Drosophila melanogaster: one gene and its partner. The protein of the gene in region 2 interacts with the protein of the main gene of each other region in a pairwise test. Each region holds a gene or a part of one and is shown on either strand. Other genes may lie near its edges. The genes, in order: ens and Nin.

What was found.
Region 1: the proteins of Nin (region 2) and ens interact in a two-hybrid assay, tested with the Drosophila melanogaster proteins (one study listed by BioGRID).

What each region holds. Positions count from the first base shown.
Region 1 is NT_037436.4:4,132,441-4,136,363, forward strand, and holds the start of ens (ensconsin), read right to left. Parts: upstream 2,111-3,923; 5' UTR 2,063-2,110; coding exon 2,014-2,062; intron 1,383-2,013; coding exon 1,329-1,382; intron 1,217-1,328; coding exon 1,109-1,216; intron 1-1,108. Other genes in the region: RfC4 (replication factor C subunit 4), read right to left, coding at 2,496-3,326, 3,379-3,543.
Region 2 is NT_033779.5:5,276,836-5,280,758, forward strand, and holds the start of Nin (ninein), read right to left. Parts: upstream 1,714-3,923; 5' UTR 1,355-1,713; coding exon 1,099-1,354; intron 507-1,098; exon of another isoform or gene 491-506; coding exon of another isoform or gene 412-490; intron 346-411; coding exon 101-345; intron 1-100. Other genes in the region: Bub1 kinase, read left to right, coding at 2,525-3,436, 3,493-3,923. UniProt on the Drosophila melanogaster protein: Required for the positioning and anchorage of the microtubule minus-ends in various cells.

The DNA of each region.
Region 1 (3,923 bases), on a different chromosome or scaffold from region 2:
CTGACGTCATCGACAATGTACACTCGCATTTTGTGGGTCAATTGACAAACTAGCAGCAGCAACAATAACAAATATGGCACAAATACTCGGACAACAATACCGCCGCCCCCGCTTCAAATTTGCCTATGTGCAAAATGGGCGAACAACAAAAAAAACAAATGATAAAAGGAAAATAGAAAGCAAATTGCTAATGCAGGCGCACATTTTGTTCTATTGAAATGACATTGAGGCGGAAAAATGCAAAAAAAAAATTAACAATAATAACAATAATATTGGTAGCATGCGGTTTGGCTGCCAAAGTCTGCATAATCGAACTGGGAACTGGTTCTTATCGCCTTATCGGTTAAGATATTTTTGGAATTCCATGACGTAAGCAAGACGACAAAGGAACAACTGCAAGTCAATCTTTTTGCCAGTTACAGGTGCGAAAATATCTTGCAAATGGGAAATTATCAGCTGTCAAGGTCGCAGGCAAAATTGCTGGATTTTAACCCACTGTATGCCATATTTACTTGTGTTTTTGGAAAGCCAAAAACATTGCAATTGATTTTTCGCTTGATAAAATCCATTTCCTTTTTGCTCTCGTAATAACATGTAGTTCAATTTAACTTAACAAACTTTGAGAACATTGTTATTAAGATCAAATTCCCAATAACTTAATCATTCCTTGTTTTGCATTCTCACAATGATTTAGTCAAATATGACTATACATATTTTTAAAATTTGTATAATTAGAGTTGGACTTGCCATCTAAAATCAAGCTAGACCTTAAGTGTAGATAACATTTTGATCTTTTAGGTGTTAATTGAAGATGCTTTGAGTTTTTAATAACCCACTTTAGTGGGTAACATCTAGACAGTTTAGAAACTACAGTGATTTAAAGCGTGTCACTGGGTGAGAATAGATAAGAAGATTTTCTTATTAGAAAAACAGCTATGAAAGACTTGCAATAGACCAGTGACGGTTAAAATCGCGATAAGGCGGACTATGGGTCTTATTTGTTAGTGAGATCATGCGGCAAACATTCGGAGCATTCGTTTTGGAGGCGGAACAGAACGGGGCGTGGCTGTGGAAGACTTTGGAGCAGCCTGAATGGAATGCCAACTACCTTGAGAGTCGTCTTCACTGGCGGAGATTTGACCGCCCACCTGGGCGAACCAATGCAAGGTTGCGCCGGCGCTGCAGCCCGAGATCTTGGCAGGTGCGAATGCGTGGGCTGTGGTTCGAGTTATAGGTGATGTTAAAGCGATTACATATAGTGCGTATGTGTGATATACATTGGTGCCGATTTTATGTAACTCGCAAGATAATCCGCATAGAAGGCTTACCTTTTCGCTCGGCGCTGCCCTCGCGACTTTCGGGTCGCTTGGCTGTGTTTTCCACTGCAAAAGAAGTACGAGAAAAATGGACGATTGAGTTTCGCTGCGATTTTCCGGAGTTTTACACGGACTTTTGGCTTTCGTGTGTGGGGAAAATCAATTGCCGTTGCGTTTTGGCAAAAAGGAAAGGTGACAAGAAGGCGAAAGAGCGAGGAAGGAGGGGGACACAAAAACACACACACACACGCACGAACACAAGCGCACGGCAGCAGCTGCGATGACGAAGCGAGAGAGACAGTGAGAAGTACGAGAAAATAATGTATGTTTCCCTCTCTCTTGTTCCAACGACTTTTCCGACTGGAACTTATTTATAAACTCAAAACTCCGGTTCGGAATCGGGGAACTCGAAATACATATATCCCCCATTTCTAGGGGGCAGACACTTTTGGCTTCTCGGCTTTTCTCTTCTTTTCTTTTCTGTGCCTCTCGCCTCGCTGTTTTTTTTCTTCGTTTTTCTCTCTTCACTCCGTTTTTGCTTTTTGGCCGTGGTGTGAGTGCCGTTTTGCTGCGCAGTCGACCAGCACTTTTTGGCCACTGAAAACGCCCCGAAAACGCGTAGATCCTGGCCGATTTTCGACGCGGGGGCATTCGTCCTTCGATTTCGCACTCTCAGCGGGTTGTTTTCAATGCGTACCTTCTGGATTAGTCGAAATATTTCCGTGTTGGCCCCCAAGACTCGCCATATTTCACTTTACTTTAGCGCTGCAAACAGTGTGGCCAGCTCTGTAGTGCTGCGATAATCTACTTAATGCGACCGTACTGTTGTATAGTGGTGTGCTCTACGAAAATACTAGAAATGTTAACTAACGTATTGGTTTTTATGTATAAAAACTAACTCCGGTTTTATGTATAAAAACTAATGATCATTCGGTCCTATAAATACATTATCTAATGTTGTATGATAATTTCAGCTTCCGATACCAAGGGCGCAATAATTAACACTCCATTAGGGACGATATGCTCTAAGTGCGCTGACATAGAAATTAACATTAATCTGTTAACTAACGGTGCCCAGTTTAAAATTTAGGTACACTTGTATTCAATACTGAAAAGGACTTATTTATCTCCAATTTTATTTATCTCTGAGATTTCTTTAACCTATAGTTCATATTAAATCTAATGCTTCTCGGCGGCAATGCAGAGTTTGGCCAGAAGGGCGGTGAGCTGCAGCAGCGAGTTGATACCATCGATAATCTTCATGTGGGTGATTCCGATCTCACGGATAAAGTCCAGCTTCAAATGCTCATCGATGTTGATGCGCTTGCAGACACGGAATATGTTCGCAATGATGTCCTCCGGCGAGTATCCCAGCTTCCACAGCTTGGCCAGGATTTTGTAGGCCTTGTGTATGTCGTTAGCAGCGCAATGGTGGATCATCTCCTCTAGGAGCTTTGGGTGCGGCTCGTCGCAGACCTTAAAGACGTTCTCAGCGGTGATGTCGCCAAATCCCTGAGCGGTGGACTGCAGGTTGTTCAGTCCCTGTCGCATATCACCTTGGGCAGTGAATACGATGGCCTCAAGTCCGTCCTCCGTGTAGTTAAGCTTCTCCCACTTGGCCACCTCGATGAGCTTGGCCAGAACTTGCGCATCGGACAGCTTGGTGAATCGTAGCATGGCGCAGCGGGACTGGATAGGCTCTATGATCTTCTCGCTGGTGTTGCAGGCCAGGGCAAAACGAGTGGTGCTGCTGTAGATCTCCATGGTCCGGCGCAGTGCCTGCTGGGCACCCTCCGTCATGCTGTCCGCCTCGTCCAGAATCACAATCTTGTGCCTGCCCCGCGGCAGTGTCACCTTCTGCTGAGCAAACATCTTGATCTTGTTGCGGACCACATCGATTCCTCGTTCATTGGAGGCATTCAGCTCGAGGACAGCCTCCTTGTAGCTGTCTCCCAGGAGAATCCTGGCCAGACACTGGATGGTGGTTGTCTTGCCCACGCCAGGAGGACCCTATAGATCACAATTAGTGGCGCCAAACTAATTTTACTCCTCACAAACTCACAGCAATAATAATATTGGGTGCATTTCCCTGGGTGGCGAATACGGATAGTCTTGCTACGGTATCCTCATTGCCCACTATCTCCTTGAACTTCACGGGGCGGTACTTCTCAATCCACGGCAAGTGACTGCGCTTGTCGTCCGCCGTTTTCTCTGGTTCTTCCGGCATTTTATGTGCAATTTCACAAATTCGCACAAACAAATTGAAGCGTGGGGCTGTAGTGTGGCCGTTTCTTGGGCGCCAAAACACAACGGTTAGGCCTGGTATTTTTTACATTTATCGATTTCTTAGCAACACCGATAGGTCCATAAAGGTAATTATTTGAAATTCAAATATAAAAAAAAAACGTTCAGATCATAAAATATTCTGTAAATGAGGAAAAGAACACACGCTCAACAATATATAAAAAGAATATGTTTTAAGCAAACATTAGTTAAAAATTCTTGTTTACAATGTAAACGTTAGATAGATGAGGATTTCAAATCAGGTTAAAAAAAACTAAAAAAGTTAAATTTAATTTAAGACCAAATAGTTTTTTTTTTTCGTTA
Region 2 (3,923 bases):
AATAATAACGATTAAACAAAATCTGTTTACTATGCAATTTTGCATACATAACCAGAAGTTGTATCGCCACTTCGTACGTGACTTGACAAACGACACTCACCTGAACTCCCAGCTCATCGCATCCGTTGAGGCTTCGCTGATTTTGCTGCTGCTGCAACTGGTCCTCGTCCGTATTGTCCGAGTCCGTGACGGATAACTCGTAGATTCCCTGCTGTGGCCTAGACCGGCGACCGTATTTCTTGGTGCCCACGACGAGTTTGGGTGAAACCTCGCGATCGGAAGACTCCGGCGGACTCTCGATGTATGTGTTGTTTAGCGGCTCATCCGTAATCACCAGTGAACGCTCTGGAAGATTCAATAGATATAAGTTAGCAGAGAACTGGAAGAGTTGTATGGATCTTAGGTGGCTACCAAAACGAGCGGCTAGCTTCTCAATTATCGGATCTGTTAACTGACCGCCGGATCGGCGGTAATACAATCGTGTTCCCATTTTGATTTAGACTAAACTGCCCAGGTGAATGTGTCGCGTATTTATACAGGACATTGTAACCATCTACCTGATAAGGATCATGCAGGATCAGGTAGTCGAGAACAGTTGGGAGTCGTAAAAAAGTGTCAATTGCATCTATGATTTTATGATCGCCAGCTGCCGCCGTGCTAATCCGCGTGCTGATTATGATATTCGTACCCTAAGGTGTCCTAAATTTGCCCAGAAGTTTCCAAATCAGATAAGCGGAGGTTTGAAGTAAATGTGCATAATCCTTGCAAATTAGCACGTAGATGGTAGCACTTCTTTGAGTATTAAGTAATGGCTTTGTTCATCTATAGACTGCTAGAAATGTGTTCATTAGATCAGTGTTTTATTAATAGGGAAACCCACACGGTTCCAAATCCGTGTCAAAATTGAATTACTATCTCTAATAAGTGGCTGGCAAACATTCCGTAATTATCTGATGTTGCTTGATGGGTAATTAAAGCGCAATTACAGATAAAACGTATGTTGTTTTATGCGAACCTGTCGCGTTAGCTTATAGCAAATATTATCTTTATACTATATAAGTTAATCTATAGCGTGATCGATTCTTTGTGCTATCTCACCAATGAAACCCGATGACGTATTACCATCGAACTCGGAGCCCAGGAAGTTGAGTAGCGCCTCCTTGAACTGGCCAAAGGACACGCCCAGCTGATGGCTGCCGCCCAGGCTGGCGATCAGTGCGGATCCCTGATCCCGGAGCTCCAGCAGTGAGCAGAGCTTCAGCAGGGACTTCTCGTCCAGAAGTCCACACTGCGTCTCGCAGCTGCGGAACATTTGGTAGAGCTTCTGCTCGTACGGATCGGCGGATACCTCCATTATCCGTAACCCGGGGAATTCAGTTTGCTGCCGTTCCAATCGATCGGCTGCTCAATTGCGTTTTCACTTCGCTTTTTTTTTCTTGGGGGGAAAATCCACAAACGCAGTCAGGGGTCGAAAACAAGAAAAGTGAAATATCGGGGTCTATGTGCGTGGGTGGCGGGGGAATCACGCGTGTTTTTTGGACAGCAGGCTGTTTGAGGGGTTACTAATACTACTAATCTATGATATGCACTTCGGAACGCAACATAAACACTCGCGGGTTTGCGGTTTTTTTGGGAATAGCGTAATTTCTAGCGAGTTGATAAAAAACAATAATGCAGTAATAGCGAGCACGGTGGCGCGCTCTGGAGGGCATTAAGCAAACTTGCATCGGAGGTGGCACTATCGTGGACCATTGTTCCTATCGTTATACAACTATCGTTTAGGATTTGAATATTTATATTACAAAATAAATAGATAACAAGGGAGAACGTAATGCCATATAATAAATCGCTAACTTTACTTGGAAAGCTTCAGCTCCAACCAGACCCCTTATTAAAGTAGAAAACTTGACATAAATTGAAATCATCCGATTAACATGTTGTTTTCCAATAATAGATTATAATTATACAAAAAGTATATCAAATAGGAAGTGCTTCATAGCACACACACATATATTGTGCGTCATTCAAACTACAATAATTTAAAACAAAGAACCCTATAGTTTTATTAATAAAATTGAACTTTGGCAACAAATAAATAAATAAAAAGTAAAGTTGTACAAAAAATTGCTTTTGTTTAAAAATTCCCAACAACACGTTTCTATCGCACTATCGATAACCTTGTGCATAGCCATCGTCAACAGTGACAGCCAATGGTTCTATCGATTGTTTGGCAGCACTAATAAATTCCATTTGCAAGCTGAAAAGCAAGAAAAAATACAAAATATCTTTGAGCATTGCAAACTGTTGAAAAATCCAACTGAAAATCATGTGTATGTGCCACCAGTGACAGCCGAAGACGCCGAGGGATTAACTGAGTTAGTGGACCCTAACCAGTCCAATCGGCAAGGGGCACTACATTCCGCAATCCGAGACTTTTTGGTGGTGACCCGTAGAAACCACAGTCTCGCATTCATTTGTTTGCATTACGGCGCAGCGGGATCAGAGGATTCCGCGTCCGGCCGAGATGGCCATGCACTCGTACATGCGCCAGGGATCGGGTTCCGGAGGAGGAGCAGGAGCAGTCGCAGCTGGAGCACCGCCGCTGGCCAGCCCGGACGAGATGCACGGCTTCCTGAACGACAAGCAGGCTTGGGAGCACGCCATATCCCTGTACCAGGGTCCTGATCCACTCGATCATTGGTACAACTACATCTGCTGGTACGAGAATCACGCGCAAAGCGATCCGGAGCTAAAGTACCGCGAAACTCTGGAGCGCTGCCTGACGGTGTATGAGCACAATGACTACTATCGCCAGGATGTCCGTTTGGTGCGGCTGTGGCTGAAGTACATAGCCATGCAAACGGATCCACTCCATTTCTACCAGGTGCTTTTTCAGCGAGGAACTGGTCGCCAGGTGGCCGCCTTCTACATTGGATGGGCTGCCTATTACGAGTCTCGCGAGGAGTATAAGGATGCGGAGGCGGTGTTTAACTTGGCCTTCCAGGAGAAGGCGCAGAGCACTTCCGAGCTGCAGCACGCCCACACCAAGTTCGCCTATGCCAGGTCTCTTTTTTACCAGCGGCAACAGCAGCAACAACAGCAACAACAGCAGCACCAGCAACATCCCCCGCAGGATGCACTGCAGCAACTCACGAACTATGCACAGCAGCAGATGCCACAGAGCTATAATCAACACCGTCCCCAGCCATATCAGCAGAATGTCTATCAGCAATATCATCCGCAGGCGCAGGCACATCAAGCCCCACAGCCTCATCAGCCGGCGCCACAACAGCAACTGCCGCCAGAACAACAGGTCCCCTATCAGACACACTACCAGGAGCGGCCGCGCTATGAACCACATCCTGCAACTCAGTCCCCAACAGCAATACCACCATCCCAAGTCCAGCAACAATCGCATTATGCTCCTGTGGCAGAGGTGAGCATTAAATTTAATATCAAAGCTACTTGATAAATACTCCTTTTTTGTTTTAGTCCCATTATGCACCAGCCCAACAGTCACAGTTGCCGCCGCAACAAACTACAGTACCGCAGTTGCACGCACAGCAGCCGCAGCAGCAACAAAACGGCAACGGCAATCCACCTCCTCAACAAAGTCCTCCGGTGACAAATGAAGTGGCTGGCCTACGCTTGCCGCGCAATTTCCACGCCTACGGGCGCAACAACCATGAGACATGGAAGCCGGCTCTAACGCTTGAAGAGCCTGATGATCCCTCGCGCGTGTGCCACTATGCCAAGCAGTTGGTATATCCACCAGGAGCAGGCGTCGAGTACAGTCCCGAAGAGATACTAGCCCGCAAGTTTAAGCAGTTAATGGATCAAAAAGCCAAGCCATCGGAGCCGCCAGAACAAGAACAGCAAACTCTTTATGATTCCTACGAAACTGAGAAATCTTACTATATGAC